Linked DNA regions of Pelodiscus sinensis. The protein of the gene in region 2 interacts with the protein of the main gene of each other region in a pairwise test. Links are inferred from orthologs where the notes say so. Each region holds a gene or a part of one and is shown on either strand. Other genes may lie near its edges.

Evidence for each region.
Region 1: the proteins of RALGDS (region 2) and RAP1B interact in binary tests that used the Homo sapiens proteins (3 or more experiments, as listed by UniProt). The link is inferred for Pelodiscus sinensis from reciprocal best matches to the Homo sapiens genes RALGDS and RAP1B.

Annotation. Positions count from the first base shown.
Region 1 is NC_134711.1:63,350,328-63,361,307, reverse strand, and holds the start of RAP1B (ras-related protein Rap-1b), read right to left. Parts: upstream 4,579-10,980; 5' UTR 4,402-4,578; intron 3,633-4,401; exon of another isoform or gene 3,567-3,632; intron 1-3,566. UniProt on the Homo sapiens protein: GTP-binding protein that possesses intrinsic GTPase activity. Contributes to the polarizing activity of KRIT1 and CDH5 in the establishment and maintenance of correct endothelial cell polarity and vascular lumen.
Region 2 is NC_134732.1:15,950,636-15,961,590, reverse strand, and holds the start of RALGDS (ral guanine nucleotide dissociation stimulator), read left to right. Parts: upstream 1-6,674; 5' UTR 6,675-7,188; coding exon 7,189-7,374; intron 7,375-10,955. UniProt on the Homo sapiens protein: Functions as a guanine nucleotide exchange factor (GEF) activating either RalA or RalB GTPases and plays an important role in intracellular transport. Interacts and acts as an effector molecule for R-Ras, H-Ras, K-Ras, and Rap.

The DNA.
Region 1 (10,980 bases), on a different chromosome or scaffold from region 2:
AGCCCCAGCAGTCCACTGATTGTATGCATTGTACCTATCCATGTTTTCAGTTTGTCAACCTCGCAGAGCCTAAGCAGTTTGAAAAACACTGGTCTACCCAAGGCAGGGCTTATGTGGCTCCTTTTAGGGATGTTAAATATTGGTTCATTGATTAGTCAAGTAACCTCAAATTCTTATTGGTTAGTCAACTATTCAATAGTCCCTGGGGCAGGGATGGCAACCAGTGCGCTCCGGCCTTACTCCCAAGAAGCCCCCTGCCATTCTGTGCTGCTGCCTCTATATCAGAGGCAGCAGCACAGGGTGCCAGGCGAGAGCGGGTCCATGAGGGGAGCCTGTTTAAAAAACAACTCCCCTTACGTCACAAGCCACAACTGAGCTGGGCAGCTGGCCAGCCTGCTAAAAAATTTGTTGGCGGGAGGAGAGGGGGAAATGCATGTAATCTATAGCATTAACCTATAAACTTTTGCTTATCAGGGGTTAACTGACACTATTACATCTCTAGCCCCCCACATGTAATAAAATTGGGCACCACTATTCTGAATTGTGCTTTAATGCCATTTTTGTCTACAAGGAAGAATGGGGGCGGGGGGGAGAGAATGCCATTTTTGTCTACAAGGAAGAATGGGGGCGGGGGGGAGAGATTGTTGAGTTAGTTGTTTTAGTTGATTCTGATTACAGAACTAGCTGTTAGACTATTAGAGTACTGAAGTTTAACTTTCTTCTCTTTCAAACCTCTCAAGATTTTTTATTTTCCTTTTTGTGGGCTTATTCGCTCCTAGATTAATACCTGTGCTGCTATTCCAGCAAATCTCAAACAAAACTGAAACAGTAGTCCACTTTACTTGATACCAACATTTTCTCCAACAGCACAAAACAGAAATTGGCTCATACTGGCTAAATTTTACTCCAGGTCTTGAATTGTCCTAATAATGGGGGTTTAAAATAAGGTAGTATGTATACATCCCACATGGCAATAGTACAGTAGAACCTCAGAGTTAAATATACCTGAGTTACAAAACAGACTGGTCAACCACACACCTCCATTTGGAACCAAAAGAACACAATCAAGCAGCAGACAAAAAAAAAAACACACTATACATTACTGGTACATATAAAGGATTTGACAAAGTAAGGAAACCATTTATGTGCTTGTTTTTGTTCAAATTATGATTAAAATCAGCAATTTCTTCTACATAATAGTTACAAAGACTATCACATCAATGTTAAGCTGTAAACTTTTGAAAAAAACAGTCAAGATGTTTTGTTCAGAGTTGTGAGCATTTCAGAGTTACAAGTCACCTCCACTCCCAAGATGCCTGTAACTGGGACACTACTGTTGTCAGTACCCACTCAGATTAACACTAACAAGATTACCACGCCTAAAAGAAGAGTTTTGTTTACCTTCTGAACATTTTATAGCACTCTGTGATAATCAATTTCATCATACCCTCTGTATAGTCACTTTACCCTTTTGTTGGGTCTTTTTTTATAACAATGGAGTCAACTAATATGTGAACAATATAGAAACATAAAACCATGAAAACTGGTAGTCAATGGGAGACTATTAGGATGGCGTGTGTGGGCAAGGCGTTGGAGCACCTCCTCCACACAAAGGGTGCTCCTCAAAGTTGCTTTGAGCAACATGTGGGTCTATAACAGGAAGGGAGCCTGTCTGAGGGTCCCGCTGGACTACAGCAGGACAGATCTAGCCTGCAGGCTGCCCGTTGTAGGCTACTGGCAATTGACAGAGAAAAAAAAACTAGAATCCTGAGCAAAATAAGTGAAAAACATTTAGAAGCACTGAATTCAGCACTTTACTTAGGTTTCCATCTAAAATGTATAAGTCAAAAACTTTTAAACTGGGCATTAAGATGTTTTAAGTTTACCAAAGATAGAAAAGTCCATTCCAGTGTCAATGTGTGACCTTGTATTAAGAAATATAACTGTCTCATTTGACTAGTTATTGTGCAGTACACGACATAAGTTGGTAAAAATAAGTAGGGCAGTCAGGAACAGGAGTGAGCAATAATTGTTCATGGAGGGCCCACTCCAAGATCTGGTAAGTGGCCAAGGACTGCACTTTTCTATGGATGTGGTGCAGAGTCTGAGAGGTTGGATACAGAAGAGAGCTAGGGGTAGGGGACTGGGATGCAGGAAAGTGTGGGGTCTGAGAGGAAGTTTGAGTGAAGGAGGAGATTGCAATCAGGGGCAGATGAATGGTGTGTTGGGTCAGGGAGAGAGAATGGGTGCAGAAGAGGATTCTGGCTTGGAGTACAGAGTCTGGGAGGGAGTTGACCTGGAGGAGGGGGGTGCAGAGGGTATGGGTGGTGACCTGGGACAGGAAGTTGGGGTATAGGAGGGAGTAGAATGGCAGAAGCAGGCTCCAGCAGGTAGCTGCTTACCTAGAGGGCTCCCTGCCAGCAGCCCTGCAGGACCCCAAGGCAGGCACCCTATCTGCTGCAGCCCTATGCTGCTCAAAATGGCTGGACACTCCCCATGACGCTCTGCTTCAGGCAGAGCGAGGAGAGGAGGATGAAGTGGCTTTGCACGTTGCCACTACCCCCACCACAATTTCTTAGCTCCTACTGACCAAGCAATAGGGGCTTAAAGTGGTGTGGAGCTGCTTTGCGCCCCAGGATCCCAGTGCGAAGCCCACAAGTTGGATTCAGCCCACATCTTGCCCACCTCTGGTCAAAAAGCATAGCTGAAACTCAGAAGTGTTTACTCAAAAAAAAAACCTTGGAATTTGTGTACATGCTATGAAAGAGCCTTGGAAAACATCAATTCCATTAGCTTTGTCTGACTATTTTAACACACACCTATTATGTGGCCCCACATATACAAGAACTGGTTGCTAGATTTAATTCAATGTGTCATCAAAACTTCCAGATGTGTGTCCAAAATCCACTAAAACGCTTGGTTTATGATGTTGTCTAAATCGTCTTTTTTGAAGCCACATAAAGTTACACACTTATACCACAATATAGAAACTCTTTTCAAAATGAAGAGTCATATTTTCTAAATAGCATTTATTAGCCATTCATTTAAAAAAGTCAAAGAACATCAACATTTCAGTAAATGTTGCATAGTCCACTTTGTCAATTTGGAATACAGTATAATCATCACTTCCTGAGAAGCCTAGATGGTTTCAACAAAAATACCGGACACACTTGACATTACATTACATCTTATTTAGAAAACATTTATATTTTCTAAATTTGTTTCCCAAACAGAAAGCACAAATACTGGATTGTGCGGTTTAAAACTGGACACCTGGCAACCCTAGCAAAGCCTAATTATATTCTTCTGCAGCATAAATTTTGACAACATTTTGACAACATGCTGGTGGCATGGCAATCTTTCTAAAATATTGTGGGGTTGATGCAGAAGTTATTGAGTGTGGTTTTTAAGCCAGTATTGTGTAGAAATTCAAACTAGATAATCATGATTGCCCCTTACAGGCTTAAGACCTTTTTTCCAGACTTAAGACCTTTTCTTAAGGTCTGGTGGGGACAAGGACCAGAAGATTCATAAACATTAAAATGACTGCAGTGTTGTCTATTTACATTGCAAGCTCTTTCTGGGCAGGTTCCGTGCCTTCTTAGCCCCACGACCAAAGTACAGTTGAGGCACTATATAAAACACAGAAAACCACAAGTTTTAAAGCAAAAAGAGCTCCTGGCATGAAGAGAGAACCTGTAACAAGGTAAGATCCAGCACAGTCTCAATGCGTTACCCGTGATGCCCAGACTTTGGGGGCCGACACCATGGCCGGAGGATCGCCTCAGTCCAATACAAGTGACGAGGCCTATGGTGCCAGGCTGGTGGACACTCTCCCACGCCGAGGGAGGATGATGGAAACTGTGAGCAGCAGCGGCTGATACGGCCGGACTAGGTGGGGCTGAACTCAACTTCCCACAGCGAGCTGCCACCGCGGGAGCGAGAACTTTTCTTCACAGCTCGCCCGCCCGCCGCCCCTGACCCCCACCCCGGCCGGCCCAGGCGAGCAGCTCAGAGCTGCAGGGTTACAACTTTCCGCTTCCGCTCCAACTTCGGGGCGAGCGGGCGGGCGGGCGCCGGGCACCCCCAGCGCGAGGGGCGGGGGAGCGAGCAGCAGCCAAGCCCCAGACTCCGGCCGCCCGGGTGTCCCCGCTGCCGGGCGCAGGAGGCGGCGGCCGCTCTCGGTTCCTGCTCCGCCATGTTCAGGCACCGGCCCCCTGTCCGCACCGCGCGCTCTTCCCGCCGGCGGGGCCGCCGCCCCGGCCCCTCCACCCGCCCCGCTCCCACTGCCGCGGGGCCACCTGCGCCAGACACACGCCGCTGCCGCAGCCACCGCCCGCCCGGGGCTGGAGCGGCCCCCTGCTAGGCCCGGCCGCCCTCTCCCCCGCCACCTCCGCCTACCGGACAGCGCCGCCGCCGCCGCCGCTCCCCCCAGTCGCCTCCTGCCCGGCCGAGCCTGCTCCGCACGCCCGCTCCCTCTCGCGCTGCCGCTGCCTGGGCGAGGCTTGGAGCCGTCGTCGTGACGCCGCACGCCGAGCCTCGCTCTGGTTCCCCTACCCCGTTCCGGCGGCGGCGGGGGTGGGGGGGAGAGGAGGTAACTTCGCCGCCCTGCTTCCAAACTGCGCACGCGCGAGCCCCAGCCTCGCTGCGCACGGTCCCGCCCTCGCTTCACGCAGAACCTCTCCCCTCTCGCGCCCATTCCGGCCGATTTCCGCTCCCCGCCCGCATCGGGTAGTGGCGGGGGGAGGGGCAGGCACGTCTCCCTGCCAGGGTCCCGGGGTGGGGCCGAACTGATGGAGGGTTGCGGGCAAACAGGGCAAAGAGGCGCAGGGGGGAGGATGTTCTTGCACTGCCTCACTCCCTGTGCTTTGTACTAGGCATGCAATAGTGTAGCTGATTAACCTGTAAGCAAAAACTTAGAGGTTAATGCGATGAGTTACTTGCATTTCTCCGCGCTCCCTCCCCCTACTCAGTACATTTTTAAGCAGGCTAGCCAGCAGCCTGGCTCAGTCCTAGCTTGCCACAAGTCTGGCACCTACCCGTGCTGTGGCTCTGCATTTAAAGTGCATTGGGGCTGGGCCGGCAAACAGCCCAGCTCAGTTCCAACTTGCACGGGTCCAGGAGCTCAGACTTCCACCCAGACAAGAGCTGCTGCCACCCTATGCTGCTATCTTTTTAGCAGAAGCAACAGCACAGGGTGACAGGAGCAGGAACTGTTTTTTAAACTGGCTCCCCTCACAGACCAACACCTGCCTGATACTCTGCACTGATGCCTGTGATATAGAGGCAGCAGCACGGAGTAGCAGAGGGCTCTTTAGGAGTGAGGTGCACTGGCTGCTGGACCCCACCCCCGGGGGCTATAGAATAGTCAACTAACCAATAAGAATTCATAAGGTTAGTCGACTATTCAGTTAAGTGATATTTAACATCCCTAGTTTGTACCTGCTTGTGACCCACATTTGCAGTATCTGTAGACGTTGGCCCCCTAAAAGCTCTTTCTTCACCCACCTTGTTTGTTTATATGGAGTCATTTTTACCCCCCATGCACCATGTCACACCAAATGGTTCTCACTGACTTGCTCCGTTAGCCGCAACTGCCAGCATGCTCTGAGGGCTCAGGCCTTACCGTACTACCCTCTTGCCTGCCCCATTCGGGAGTAGGATTTGCATAATTGCAAATGACTCATGAATGGCATCCATTGGCAACTTATGTAGGCAAGGGCAGGCATTGCCTTCCCACAAAGACCAAGGTGGTCCCACCCATGCTCATGTACAGCTGCTGTAATAGGCCAAGGAAGGCAATGCCTTTGCCTGGTGCTGTCACCAACCCACTGCAGGACAACTAGCACACAGTCCACCTTTAGGGCAGGGGGAGCTGGCACTTGGAAAGGCTGCTGGCAGCTTGGCCCAATGCTAAGAACAATCTGGCACTCAGGGAGAGGGGATGCAAACAGGCACTGGGTGCAGCCCGGTGCGCAGGGGAACAGAGGTTCAGTCTGGTGGGCTAGGAGGGAGGGTAGTAGCAGCAGCAGCTTGGCCCATTGTGGCTGGGGTCAGGCCAAGGATCCTTTGGTCTTCAGGCTCCTCCTTAAGGCTTTTCTTTTTACAGGCAGGGGGAGAGGCTTTAGGGCTCTAGCATATGGGGACAGGGTCTTAGGGAGCAGGTGGGCATGCCTCTTTAAAGCAGTCATTCACTTGTCATCCATGCCCAGCTGGGAAAGCTGAGGCCATATGGCTTCCTGGCAGGCCAGGAAGGCTGGGGCATGGCTGCCCAACTGCTCCTGGGGCTGGAGCCTGAGCCACACAGCTGCCCTATGGATCAGTGTAGCACCAAAGCTATCTGGCTGCTCCAGAGTCTGAGGCTGTGTGAGAACTGGGGCTGTGCAGCTGCCCGGCACTGGGGGAGGAGGGGAGGCACTAGCCTTAGGCAGGGGCCAGCAGCCATGCTAGTGGGGCTGGGGTGCAGGGCAGAGACCTGTCGCCAGGTGGGCATAGAGTGGTCAGGGGCAGGCTGGGACTTCGTCCCCAAGTCAGTTGTTCACCCACTATCTCATATTGGTATCTGTATCCTTGTCATAGACTGCCTCAGAGTTTGGGGAACAAAATGAAGTCTTCCTGTGGTATTGCCATCAGTCAGGAACTGAAATAGAAGGCTAGTTCTAGGAGAATTTTGTCTAGCAATGTAGGAATTGCCCTATCTACTGGATCAGCATTATGGTCTGTATAGTTTTGTTTCCTATGTGTCTCCAACCTAGGCAAGCATCAGATTCTTCAAAAAGAAATGTAAGAAATCCCATATAAGGGGTTATAGACATATAAGGAGGAATCTGTTTCCCCACCAAGGTTTTAGCCTAATTTTAATAGTTATAGATTAGTTAAAACCATGAGATTGGTTTAAATCCTGGTCTCAACCTATGAAGAAAATAACTTTAAATTATTTTTAAAAATCTGTGGGGAAAATGTAACATTAACATTAACACAAATGCATATATCCCCAATTCTTACCCACATTTGTGCTCTGAGATCCTTGGATAATTGGTGTCATATAAATACAAAATATTATTCTGGACATACCTTATTAAGCCTTCCAACACTTACAATTTATCATTAGCTTCTATTGCCACAGGGCAGGAGACCTATTGAAGTTGAAGGACCTATGACCTTTCTTGATCCTTCTCCTCCAATTTATTAGTGTAAAATTGTCAAATATCAAAATGCCTTTTTTCTTAAAGTCACAAGTGTTCTCTCTCATTTGAATAAAATATTTTTAAAGACTTAAGTATTACAAATAAATTACTTATGTATATGATAAATACTTTGTAAGCAAATGGTTAACCTGTGTACAGATAAAGCTCTTGCTCAGAGGAAGTTCACCACAGAATACATGAAACTGACAGGAAGTTGCATTGAGGTTGTTGGCAAAGGGAGTGGGTGTGGAGGAAGTACCGGCTTTCTGTTTGCAGTACAGAGATAGACAAGAGGAAAAAAAGGATATATTTCCCCAAATTGCATGCTAGTGGAAAATTATTTGAAGTCCATAAAACTCATGATAAATTTATAGTAAATACTATCAGAGCATTGGAGCAGAGGTGGTAAAAGTGCACCAAAAGAGCATACAAATCTCAGTATTAGATGTTCCCTCTGGATTTAAGGCACCAAGCAAGTGACACAGAAATTCTTACTTTTACCTTAAAATATTTTTCTTCAGAGCATTGCACTAAAATAAAATCCAAAACATCATAAAATCTCTTCCAAAGTCTAGACAAATGTCTTGATGTTTTACAGCTAAAACCTGTACAGTACTTTGATAAAACTAGCTAAAAAATAACAACTTTTTAAAAGTACATCAGAAGCAGGAAGACTTCTAAACTTCCAGTGGGACCACTAGATGATCGAGATGCTAAAGGAGCACTCAAAGATAATGTCATTGTGAGAAACTAAGGCTACGTCTAAACTACAAAGATTTTTCGAAAGAGGATGTACAAATTCCTTTTCTGATCGCATTTTTGAAAGAGGATCTTTCAAAAGTGAAGGTAGTCTGGATACGGGGTGTTTTTTTGAAAAAAAAAACCTTTTTGGAAAAAAAACGCTCTTCCTAAAAAAAGGATGTTTACACAGTTTTTGAAAAAGGTTTTTTCCCCGAAAAAAACACGTCCAGACTACTTTCACTTTCGAAAGATCCTGTTTCGAAAATGTCATCAGAAGGAATTTGCATATCCTCTTTCGAAATCAAAACATAGTCTAGACATGCCCTAAATGAATTCTTTGCATTGGTCTTCACGGCTAAGGATGTTAGGGAGATTCCCAAATTCTTTTAAATGACAAATCTGAGGAATTGTCCCAGATTGAGGTGTCATTAGAGGAGATTTGAGAACAAGTTGATAAACTACCCAGTAACAAGTCACCAGGACCAGATAGCATTCACTCAACAGATCTAAAGACTCAAATGAGAAATGTGGAACTACTAACTGTGATTTGTAACCTAACATTTAAATGTGCTTCTGTACCAAATGACTGGAAGATAGCTAATAAGATCCTTTTTTGAAAATTGATATCACAAGTAGGGATGTAAGCAACGAGTCGACTAGAGATGTGACTAGTTACTTCCCCCCCTTGCTGTCTCTATCAGAGGCAATGGGGGGGGGGGGTGAGTATGAGAGAAAGATCAGGAGCTGGTGCTGGTGGGAGCTGGCTTAAAAGCTGGCTCCCCCCAGCATCATCTCTGGGAGGGTTGGGGAGGTAGAGATGTTGTACCAAATAAAAGCAAGCAGGATCTTATGAGGGGGATAAGGCAAAAAGCCACATTTATTGTAAAGATAATAAAAATAAAGAAAAGATAGAAGCAAACAACGTTGTTTAACTACTTATTCCTATCACTACTTAACCCTTATACACTTGTGTGTATATATATATATATATATATATATATATATATATATATATATATATATATATATATATATATATAACCATTCATTCATACATCCATTCATTCAAGTTCTGTGTATAGTTACCAGCCTGGAAGTTGCTTGTGACAGGATACTGGCCAGGTACTCTGTACACAAGTGATGGTAGTGGGGAGCGAAGTCCTGATCAGATGTGCATCTGAAGCTCCTGGTAGGCTGGCAGCAGAACCTTGGACTCTGATTCCATAGTTTTTTAGTCCAGTTCTTATAGGAATTTCTTCCTATGCCAGTCTATGGAAATTGCTGTATCATGCTGATGTCTCCAGGGTGGCTGCCAGGTGCTCATCAGTGAGCTCATCGGGTGGACCTCCAGTTTCTCCACTTGACACCTTTTGGTTGCACTGGCACCTGACGCCTTCTTCAGCCCTTTGTTGCTGTATTCTCAGGCTGGCACCTCTTAGAACCATTCACTCATCATCCAAGCACTCTCTCTCTTACATACATTCCTTAATGTTTCCCATACAATGTTTTTGTATAATAATAACTTTACATATATCAGAGTTGTAGTTACAAAAAGTTTCTGGTAATAATAACTTTACATATATCAGAGTTGTAGTTACAAAAAGTTTCTGGGTGGTATTGCTTAAAACATTCTCTGAGTGCTGAGTAAAGTTACAATGTTTTAAAGAGAACAGGCGTCAATTAAGTAACAATGCCCTTAGTCAATTACAGGGCTTGGCTCCCATAGCAGAGTTAGTGGTTTGACAATGCATTGTTACAATGTATCTTTGCAATGTCAATTTCAAGCAGCCCCTTGCACAAACTTGAGCATGCCCTGGAGCACAGAGGGGGGGGGGGGGGGGGCTGTTTCTGGTTACATAGGATTATATTTTTAACAGTTCTAAGTTACATTACCTAATACATTATATTCTAAAGGGGCAATAATAATCATAAATCTAAACATTTAACAATCTTAACAACTAATAATAATAATAAGAAGAATCCTAATAAATCTAAACACTTTAAGTTGTGGAGAACAAATTATGGGGAGTCACTTCCATTTGGGGGAATCACATTTTTAATACATTAATATGTTATCCCTACAGAGAGACAGTGGGAAATGGCATGAGCGGATACTGAAGCAGTCTCCACTTGCGCTGCTTCTGCTGCGATTCTGCTTTTGAAATGTACAAGAGCCCCAGTGGGTTAATGATTGGTCTATAAGGGCACCTCCGCCTTTGAATTATAGCAAGAGTCCAACAGGGCTCTTGTACATTTCAAAAGGAATTGTCAGACACAGAGATTAACATATTTTATTGGGGAAAGTCAACATTAGTTTCTGTAAAGGGAAAAATCATGCCTCACTAACCTACTAGAATTCTCAGGGGTGGGGAGTGTCAACAAGCATTTGGACAAAGGAGATCCACTAGATATATTTGTGACGGGGTGTGGTTACAGAAGACCCCTTTGGGGATGCTGACAAAGCCACTGACACTCTCCTTGCTCTTTGGGGCTCCTCATTACCCTGTCCTGCTGGGCCAGATCTCCTGGTCTCCTCCAGCCAAAACACAGAGCTGAGATCACCTCCCCTTCCCCTTCCCCTCCCCTCCCCCAACAAAAGAGCAATACTGACACTGAACTTCTTCAGGTCTGAGGAGAATGTAATTTTGAGCACAGATTCCAGGAAACCCCCTCTCCAAATAGGATCAGAACTCATTCAGGTAAACCCCCTTTAATGGTGAAAGGAGGATGTACACACTAATTGCTCTCTCAGGTAATTATTTACACTGGGATTGGTAGTAAATAAAAGGGATTGTATTAAGTAGAAACAGTAGGATTTAAGTGGTGTGGCAAGGTCAGTTCCATTCCTGGGGCCCAGACCCCTGTTTCAGTACACAATTCCTGCAGTCTAGGTACTGTGGCATAGGTCCCACTTGACCTTTCTGACATTGGGCTTCTGTCTCTTGGCAGAAAGGGGTGTTGGGGCACTTGCCCCTGATCAGCCTGGGCTGGGTGATTAGTCCTTCCCAGCTACCAGCTGGACTCTCTTGCTACTTGGGGGGAAGGGAGCCCA
Region 2 (10,955 bases):
AGGACAAAGCCTTCTGGCTCCCCTCCATATATTGAAACAAAAAACAGGACTATGTAGCACTTTAAAGACTAACAAGATGGTTTATTAGGTGATGAGCTTTCGTGGGCCAGACCCACTTCCTCAGATCAAATAGTGGAAGAAAATTGTCACAACCATATATACCAAAGGATACAATTAAAAAAATGAACACATATGAAAAGAACAAATCAAATTTCAGAACAGAAGGAGGATGGGGGGGGGGGAAGGGCAAGGTAAATGTCTGTGAGCTAATGATATTAGAGGTGATAATTAGAGGGAAGCTATCTTTGTAATGGGTAAGATAATTGATGTCTTTGTTTAAGCTTAGGTGTAAAGTGTCAACTTTAAGCATGAATGACAGTTCAGATTCCTCTTCTCTTCCCCTTTTTTAGTCCTGTTTTTTGTTTCAGCTACACCAGACTAACACTGCTACATTTCTATCACTATCCTCCATATATTGTAACTCCCCATGGGTAGATTGCTGCCTTGTTCCAGCTGCAACGGTTTCATTCTGAAGTTCAGACAGAGAAACGCTTGGCCTCTTGAAGAATTGTTAAACCTGCCATCCCGGGATTGTGACACAGCTGTGCTGTTTTCGCTGTGACACTACCCTCCACCCCCCTTTTCTTTCGTTCTGCAAAGACAGCAAAGCAAAAGGCAAAGGGCCACCAATAGAGTTATACTGGACTTGAGAAGACTATGCAGGCAAGGACAGTTCAAACATTAATCATCCATAATATAAACTAAGAGGGGCTGAGCTGTACCAAGTGAAGGCTGTGTGATCCCATTCTCAGATCACTCTGCTGTACCATGGTGCTGTGAGATCCCACCCTGCACATTGGGGCAGTCTGTTGGAGGATCTGGGGGCCACTGGAGTAGAGTTTATGCAACTCCCAGGGTGGGGAGGAGAGGAGGCCACACATGAGTTTCAAAGTAGCAGACACTCGCCACATAATCATTATTTGTGTGTGTTTGGCACCTTCTTTCTCAGAGCAACTTGAAGCCGTTAATTCATGTAGCCTTAGCCTCTCTTCCCATGTTCTCAATATTTACACCCCCGTTTTACAGAAGGGGTCATCGAGGCACAGACCATATAAAGAACTTGCCAAAGGTCACTCAGTGAATCAATGGCGATGTCGAGAATAAAGCCCTGCTCTCTTGATACCCTCCCCTGCATTGTAACCACTAGACATTCTTCCCCTACTGTGGCACATTGAAAGTTAGTCAGCAGTGGAGAATGCAAACCACAGAAAAGAGGGGGCTCTTAAATGACTATGGATAAAGCACTGGGATAACAGCCAGGGAGTTACTTTCAGAGGTTTGGCAATCACCTGGTTTCCTTACCTTTGTGGAATAAATTGCTAAATGGGCAAGTACTATCTGTGGAGAGGGAACTCTGAATCCTGAATTTTCAAATAAACTCCCCAAATGCTGCCACTCCAGCCAGCATGAGGCCTGGCACCCGGGAATTAGAACAGAAACACTGATGCCGTCCTGAAGGCGAGATGGGCCAGTAGTGCAGTGTTGGAATATCTACTAGATCACAGGCACAGACAAAGCCTGGGGCTCAGAGGTGCAGGAGGTGATTAAAATTGTCTCTGTGGGATTTGAACTCTCGTTCTCTCTGGGCTGGGTTTTGTTCTTTGAGTGTTTGGCTGTAAACACATTGGTGTGTTTAATGTAAATTCCTTCTTACGCCAGGCAGCCCCGTCTTGCTGATTGTTCTGTACAAAGGGTGAGGTTACTCTGGCTAGCACTTCGAAGAAGCAGGGGTCAAAAGGTGGACGGAGGCAGAGTGTGATCCAGAGGCCTGGCTTGGAAAGTGGCTGCTGGGTCTGACTCAGTTTCCCCATCTGTAAAATGGAGATGGTGATACATGCTCAGAAATCACATAGAGATTAACATTTTTTGCAAAGCAATTGTGGTGTTGCTGATCAATGCTAATGCTAGCAACCTAGATCAGCTTTGCACCTCTTACCAACCCTTTCAGCATCTCTTTCCCCTGTGGGGGGATGTTGACAGCACTATCAGTAGAGAAAGTGAACTCCCTAACAAATTAGAGAGAGGCGGTACAATCATAGAATCCTAGGGTTGGAAGAGACTTCGGGGTCATCGAGTTCAAACCCTGCACAAAGCAGGACTAACCCCAACTAAATCATCCCAGCCAGGGCTTTGTCAAGCCAGAACTTAAAAACCTCTAGAGGTGGAGATTCCACCACCTCCCTCGGAAACCCATCCCAGTGTTTCCCCACCCTCCTAGTGAAATGGTTTTTCCTAATATCCAACCTAGTAATAGCCCATATGAAGCCAGCCCGGAGCCCTGCAGATCCTGGTCTATACAGATAGGCCATATCTAGGAATGTGATGGAGGTGGAGAATTCTGTAAGGGGGAACATGAGGAAAGTGACGCTGAGGAATAGGCCTGGGGGACGAGATACTACAGGAGAAAGGAAATGCAGAAACCTGAAGTTAAAGACAGACTGTGTGAGGTGGAATAAGAACTGGGAGTATTAGAGGAAGTAGAGAGAGGTGCAGGGAATGCGTGCGCGTGCGCTTGTGTGTGTGTGTGCCTGTGTGTGTTTGTGTAAGGTGTGATGGTATGGTGGGGCGCAGATTTGGGGGGATAAATTAGCAGAGAAAGGGGAGGACAGTGGCAGGAAGGGGGGAGGGATGGAGGGACTAATAACCAAAGGGAAAAGCAAAGGCACAAGGCAGGCAGGAAGGGAAAATAGAAACTGATAGCAAGTGAAAGCGAGAGAGGAGGAGGAGAGCTGTTACACACAGCCACAGCTACAAAGAGAGATGGCGTACACATGTACAATACATTTTATTGTATTACCCAGTTGGACAAGAGGAAGAGTTGAAACTAAGCCTATTGACAGGAGACCATAACTTGGTTCCAGCACTGATTAGAGAGGGAATAAAAGGAGAGATTTTTTTATCCTGTTCCATTCCTACTCATTGGCTTAATTCTAGTCCCATGTTAGTTAATAGGAGCTTTAGCACAGAAGGATGTCAGTGGGAGCACAAAGCACTCAACATTCTGTAAAACTTTTTGCAGGGGATGAGGAGAAACCCGCCTTGCCATTTTAGCACAAGTGTCATGTTTGATGTTTTCCCTAAAGCACCAGCTCCTGAAGTCATATGAAAACCTCACTTTTTTTTTAAGATGTACATTTCTAGCCCTCATAGTTACAGAGAAAGAATTGAAAATATGATGTGAGTGCAACTTACACGGTCAAAAGTAGGAAGGAAAGAACCCTTGACTGGTTTAAAAATCATGAAACATTTGAATAATCTCATGATTTTGGAAGGGCTAGTTCATGACTGTTGAAGGCTTGGGGATGGCAGAACTGAGAAACTGTTCTGTGATGTGGCTAGTGAGTGTAGTTTGAGTGTTTTGCTTTTCAGGCCCAGAAAGATCCTAGGAGAACAGAGAGGAAACCGTCCAGCTATTTTTAAAGTTTATAGTTTGTAGTTTATTTCCTGTCATGTATTATTTATTACCCATTATCATTAGTATTATTCTAGGGAAACTGTATTTAGTGGCCAACCAAGGGACCAGCAAAAATTAGTCATCTAATGGCGCTGCATATTTTAGTAAAGGTCAGACACAGTTGAATTGGAGGCTGGTGCGTAGGGCAGGGATCTACTAACAGAAAGTGATTATGTGCTAGATGCTGTACAAACACAGATCAAAATGGCAGTTTCTGCCCCAAAGAACTAAGGGTGTGTCTACACAGCACCCTTTCCTCGAAATAAGCGATGCAATTTGCATTATGCGAATTGCATCGCTTATTTCGAGGTAGTTTGGAAATAGCTTATTTCTACACAGCGCCAAATTTTTAAATAAAGTGCTATTCCAATAAGTTCCTTAACCCTTGTGCCAAATATTTTGAAATAATGGGCATGTTTTAAAGATGCGGAATAGCTGTTTTGGGATACTTCTGGGATCCCAAAATAGCCCCACTGTCTATATGTAGCCTAAGGGTGTCTGCACTAGAGAGTTTATCGCAGCACATCTGTACAATTCAGCTGCACAGCTGTAAGAGCTCTCATATAGCTCTTCTATGCCGACGGGAGAGAACTGTCCCATCAACATAATTAAACCGCCACCAGTGAGCAGCAGTAGCTGTGTCCACAACCTAGTGCTGTGCAACCAAAGTAAAATGATGTGTGTTTCCTTGTATAATTAAGTTGTGACTCCAAATGCAGTGAGCGCTAAGCAAAGTGCCACATTTATTCCATCTCATGATGCCAGCATGTCTCACAATACTGTCCAAGCACCTGACAGACCTTTGAAAGTTAGCTTTTCTGCCGCCCTGTTCAATGAGAGTGTTTTTAGCTCTGTTTTAAAGATGGGGAAACTGAGTCACGGAAAGGGTTAAGTGACTTGACCAAGGTCGCACAATGAGCCAAGAACAGAAACTAGAGTTCCAGGTCTTTGTTGCCAGAGCAACCTTAGAGCCAAAGAGAGGATCTCCCTAACAAGAATATTCCCAGCATAAGGGAACTTGCTGAATAACCTAGAGTCCCCTCCCCCTCATGGAGGTGCGAGGGAAGAAAGGAAGAAAGAGTCAAGACTGAGTGAGGCATACTGCACACAGGCTATTTATCAGGGAACCCTTTGAGGGTGAAGGGCAGTTAGAGCCATGGACAAATTTAGCAGTCACACACATGGATTGCCAACTCTCACTATTTAGGAAGTACAGTATACTTTCTACGTGTTAAACAAAATCTTTTTTTTTTTTTTTTTTTTTTTTTTTGCTGAGTCCCTATAAAAATACCCAATCAGCCAGTTTCAAAGGAGTGCCCCTATTCATCTCCCCATGTGCTCCTATTTATAGCTTCCAGATGTTGGCAGGATTTTGTTCAAAAACAGAAAGGAGGAAAAGTGTACTGATTGTAGATTCAGGTTCTCTGCTGGTTTCCTGCAAACTCTGCTTTGTTGAAGTTCCTACATTGGAAGAAAACAAGGAAAAATTTCTAGCTCTCCAGTGTCTGGGCTGAACATCTTTCAGAGTGTCAACTGATACACCATTGTCCCTTTTGAGTCTGCAGATAGAGTGGGACAATAGCGTGGATTACTCTCACTTAGCACAGGGGGCTGTTAACTTATAAGTTGAATCATTATCCCTTTAGTCTTGGCTTTCTTAACCCTTTCTTTACCCATCATCCTGGCTGAAACTTCCAACTGCAGATGTGCTCATCTAAAAATGCAGCGGGATGCATTGAATGCATCATGATGTTCTTGTAGTGAATATAGTTGTGAGGTTTTAATACACAGAGAGTTTAATATTCTTTCAGCTGTTCAGAAAACTGAGACATGAAAGTCCATTTGGGATTAGAATTCCATGTTTGCAGGATTGCACCTTTTAGCAGCCGTGACAGCTAATGAACTGTTTTTCCTGGTTCCCTTTGTACTTATAATAGTTACAATATGTGGATTCAGCGTCCCTTGTTTGAAGGCTCCAACCCCCTCCCGGCTCAGGCACTGTGAATCTTGTACTGAGCCAAATTCAGCTCTGCTGTAAACCCCTTTACATGGGAGTCTTCACTTTAGCTCCTTGATCTCAGGCCTTCTGCGCGCAGGGGGGACCCTAGGAATGGCCATGCAGGATCCAAGCAAGCCCCAGTCCTGTTACTAGTTTGCTGGGAGGTCTTGGGCTATTTACTTCAGCTCCTTGTATCTCACCTTCCTCTTCTGAACATGATGGTACTGACCAAGACCTGCTTCATAGGTGGGCAGCTGTGTGTAGTTAGATTGTATGCCTCCCAGCATTTCCAGTGGCCAAAGTGGGACATGTTTGGCCCCTGGGGGTGGAAGGCGTGTGTGTGTGTGTGTCATCCGCTGCCCCAGTGGGTCTGTCCTGGATTCACCTCTCAGCAGCTGTCCTGTGGGCCTGGCTGTGCCCAGCTCCCTACGCAGCACTGAAACCCTGGGCACCAGGGACCAGGTTGCAATGCCCAGAATGGGGACCAAGCCCAGCCAGCCCTTTGGGACAGGAGCTTTTTCAGCAAAGAGATGGGAGTTTCACGGGTCAAAGCAGGGACTATAGGGAGAGATGTGACTATTCAGTGTTTTGAACATACAAGGTGCTGTCTAAGGGTTAATCTCTCTGCAGTCTCGTCTGTAGCACAAAGCTGGCAGTGATGTAACTAAATCAAACTTAGGCGTATTCAGAAACAGAATTATTATTATTATTCAGCTTGGGTGGTGCAGACCACCACCCTCCTTGTGCTAGGTCCTGTACAAGCACATGGACAACAGACAATCCCCGCTCTATGGAGTTTATCTTCTTGGTTTTCTTGATTTGATTTGATAATTTACCAACCTAAATTAAATCAGCTTCAGCCAGGCATGGGGGGGGGGGAGGGGGGGGCTGAATCTATCTGATTGGTACGGCTGGGACTAGATTGATTTTAAATAGATTAAACAAGGAAGAGTCTTGTGAAGCCTTAAAGACTAACAGCTGTATCTGAACATACACTTTTGTGGCTAAAAATCACGGTCAGGCATCGAAGTGGTTTTTACCAACCCAAGTTTGGTTCGTCTCTAAGATGCCACAGGACTCCTCCTTGTTTTGACAGACAGACTAGCAGGGCTGCCCCCTCTGGGACTGAAATAAATTGAGTGACGGGGGCGAGGGGGGCGCTTTTCTGTTGCAGACCAGCCCTGCCTCTGGCTGTGCGCAGGCGGCTGTGTGTTTCTGCCATTTCGAGCTCCCTGCCGCTGGAGGGGCTGGTTTTCAAGAGCTGCCGCCAGGTTTCGCAGGGAGCCGAGCTCTCCCATGGAAGGGCCTGACTCCCTCCAGGGCCCTGCTTCCGAGGGTGCCGCAGCCGGGAGGGCGAGATCCTGACAGCGGCGCTTTGGAGAGCCGCGCGCTCCACCTCCCCGGCGTGGCGCTGTGTAGCTCTCGCCTCCCTTCCCCGCCCCCTGCCGGAGTGTCAGCGCGGCTCCGGCTGCCCTTCCCCTGCCAGTCCAGCGCCTGGCTTTGCCGGCTCCCGGCGCAGCAGCGCGGCTCCCCGGCGTGGGTGGGAGCGGGCTGCCCGGGGCTTGACAAACCCGCTGCGCGCAGCCAGGAGCGCGGACGCCGCGGCGGCTGGGGAGCGAGGCAGAGCCGCGCCGCGCCGGGTCCGCATGGGGGGCTCGCGTCCCGGCGCCTTCCCATGGTGAACCGAGCGCGGGCGGAGCGGCGCCATGCCGAGGCGGGCAGCCCGGAGAACATGTTCGAGAGCTCGCGGCGGACGAGGAGCCTCTGGGACGGCGTGAGGCTGGAGGTGGCCGGCGAGAGCAGCAGCCCCGTGGTGCTGCACAGCTTCACCCAGCTCGACCCCGACCTGCCGCCGCTGGAGGTGAGGCGGCGCCGGAACCTGGCCCCGGGCGAGCCTCAGGGTGCGTGGGTGGGTGAACATCACTGGTGCAGTGAGCTGCTGGGTCTCAGCGGAGCTGTCTGGCGGAGCCGCTGAGTCTAGAGCGGGCATCGCTTTGCCAAGGTCCAAATGTGCTGGGCAAGGTATAGCCAAGGGCCAGACACAATAAAAACAACCCCCCTCGGCCCCCCAGTAATTGTAAGTCAATCAAAAGATTTCGGGGTCTGTTCGAAAGCACATGGTGGTGGGGCTGTGGCCCGCCTGCCTCTTGATTAGGCTGGTTTGGACAGTGTGAGCCCCTGCCCCACAATTTGTGTGCAGGCTTCGTGTTTCATTCTTCTCTAAGCGACCCCCTCTTTATGGAGGTCAGATTCCCCTTGGATTTGGTGCTTTTGGGTTGTTGACATATGGCTAAAACACTGGGAGGAAGGGGGGGTCTTAGCTGATTTATGTTGCAGGTGATCATTGAGTGTGTGGTGTCATTTTACTCACTGTAACCACGGGGCATGGGCATGCTGCCTTTTCTCAGCATAGGGTCCCCCAGGCTGGTTTGCAGGTGGTAGGAGTTTGTACGGTCTCTGCCCAACAGGTTTCTGATGCTGGTTTATGTTGTGCATCTGATGCCCAGAAGCTGAGCCCTGGCATGGACCGGGAAACTGAAGCATATGGTGCAGGCTGCTCCGGAAGGAGAGGAGCACAGTCGAAAATATTCTGGCAGTTCTTTTTGCTTTTATGTCAGAATGGTAAATAGCTGCCCTCTGTGATCTCTTTACTCCCCTCTTATGCCATTATCTTTCTGGCAGGCTTGCTGCCAAGCTGGAATATCTATTAGGAGAAAGCAGAGAGATGCGCGCCATCTGATGCAGCTAGCAGAAGGGAGCAGAGAGCTAGAACCAGGGCCTTTTAAATATTTTATTTGAGAGTCTGGCATCCTGCTGGAGGCTTGCTGTACCGTCTGCTCAGACTCTAGCTGCCTGTGAAGGCTTCGGGCCTGCCCAAGTTGCAAAAAAAGGACCCAAGCAATATCCTCCCCCGCTGTGGGGATTGGCTTGTAAGACACTCAATGGAGGATGAAAAACAGCCATACTCTAAGTCTAAGGCACGACCCTGGATCTTTCTAGGACGCACTGGCCCTCTGTGGCTCTTGCTGGCTTCAGATCACGGGTTTGCTGGTTGGAATTGCGGCTGTCCTTCTAGGGGGATGAGTGGCACACAAAGCAGCCTGCTTTTTGCCAGCAAGGAGTTGGGAAAACGTGGGGAACCCTAATCGAATGAGCAGTTCAGGGAAGGGAGATTGCATAGCCCAGCATAGCATAAGTAAGGGAACATGAGGTGCTCAGGTCAATGTTGGAGACCCACAAAGCATCTCTTGGTATGTCTCAGCAAGCCAGGTCTATACCCATCTACTGCTTCTCAGTTCTCTGGGTCAAAAAGAGCATTGTGCCCTTCACCTGCTAGGATAGTGACTTTGGTGCAAGGTGGTGTATGTGTTCAGGAAACTTCCACCCATCCCTGGATAACTAATGCTGCGTTTCACAGCTGGCTCGTTCGTTTTGTCTGGTTCTGTCCATTGGTTGGATAGAGGAAGTTAAAGCATGCACCTGTGCTCCCGAGGTGAAGAAGAGGTTTAAACCAGAACAAGATCCATTTCCATTAGGACTTACAGCCACCATGCTTATCCAGTCCTGGATCTGTCTTGCTGGAGAGAGGGTCACCACTAAAACCTCTGGGGTCACTGTGTAAGTAGCTAGGAAGGGAGGGAAGACAAGATTTAAGTGAGTTACAGGGCAGAATAGATAGCACTGTGATTAACAGCCAGGCTCGGTGGTAGAGGCAACTTCCTTACACATGTCCCTGCCCAAGTGGAGCCCATGTAGAGCCCTGATCTCTCAAAATCCCAGATAGGAAAGAGGATTCTTGTGGTATTGATTGTGTCATCCCACACCTGGTTTGTCTGGTCCTCTCACCCCATGGCAGGTACTCCAGGGATCGTCCCCATCAACTCTGTAAAAAAAAAAAAAAAAAAATCACCATTGAGTCTGTTTTCTTCCCTCCCCCTTCTCCTCTCTCGGGGGTGGGCGTAGCGACATTGTTTAGAGCACATCATCTGCTTCTTGTTATGTCTGGCAGGAAGTCCAGCCTTGTAGATCCCCCTGCGCTCGCTCGTGGGGCCTGGCTCTTGGCTGGGAGAGCATTCAGCGCAAGGATATGGGGGTGGGGAGGGACGCCATTCTACTCATGGCACTTCTTGTGGTGGAAAAGTTGTTGCGCGTACTGAAGCCCCCGTACACTCTGGCCCAGGTCTCTGGGTTCAGAAGTTTGGCAGGACCCCAGGACTTCCAGTGGGATCTGAGAAGGGGAGATTGGCCGTGTTGTGTAGGAACAGAGCTGACTTGCATCACCCCCTGCTGGCAGTCTTATGGCAAAAACATAGACAGAGGCCCCTGCTTGGATATTTGGTGTGATTGCTGCCCCCCTCACCGCCCTCAATAAAATATTTGAAGGACTGCTGGGTTGTCTTTCTGGGGCTTCTCCGTGCTTCTCCTTTTTGTTGATTGGAGGAAAGAGGCGTCTAGTGGTTAGAGCCAATAGACAAGCCATTAGGATTCTTGAGTTCTATTCTGACTCTGCCACCCCCTCCCTGTGTGGGAACTGACAAGTCACTTCCCCTCTCTGTGCCTCAGTTTCCCCATTTACAACATGGGGAATACACCACTAAGATGGGTGTTGTGAAATGAATTAGAAAATGGCTGTGAGCACTTCAGAAGGACCCAACAAAGTAGGTCTTTGCCCACGAACGCTTATGCTCCAATTAATCTGTTAGTCTATAAAGTGCCACAGGACTTCTCATTGTATTTGCAGATTCAGGCTAACACTGATACTTGTCAGAAGGACCATGCTTGGACAGCGTTGTTACTGTGATTGTATCGTTTAAGAGCCTATTTGTAGTTCAGTGTTTTGTTGTGACAAAACAACTGGAGAATGGCAAACGGTTAAACCAGTGCCTATGTGTTAATATAAAAAAGCACTTTGTTTTCCAGACTAGGCTTTTATGCATCCCTGATGCAATCCTTTTCTATGCAGTGTGCACAGCTTCATTGACTTCAGTGGAGTTGCACTGCTTTCTACAGATTCAAAATCCAACATGGGATCAGTGCTCGTGACAGGGATTCGTGAAAAGCTGTCCATGAGGTTAAGTGCATATTCTCCTCCTCGTGGCCTCAGCTGATCTCCTGCTGATGCCTATGGAGCTTGTGCTATTTCCAAGGCATCATCCTGATGCCTCCATTCAGATGCTGTCAGACTCACAGACTGCATCCCCTTACGTTGTGGGGAAGCTTCAGGGGGTAGCCGAGTTAGTCTGTTACAGAGAAAAACAACAAATGGTCTAGTAGCACTTTATAGACTAACAAAACATGTAGCTGGTATCATGAGCTTTCGTGGGCACAGCCCACGTCTTCAGATGACTGGAGTTATGAGTTTAAGATGTGAACACTCGAAATAAATAGGAAAGGGGAAGGTGGGGGGGGAGAGGAAGGAGAGTGGGAGACAGCGCATCATTA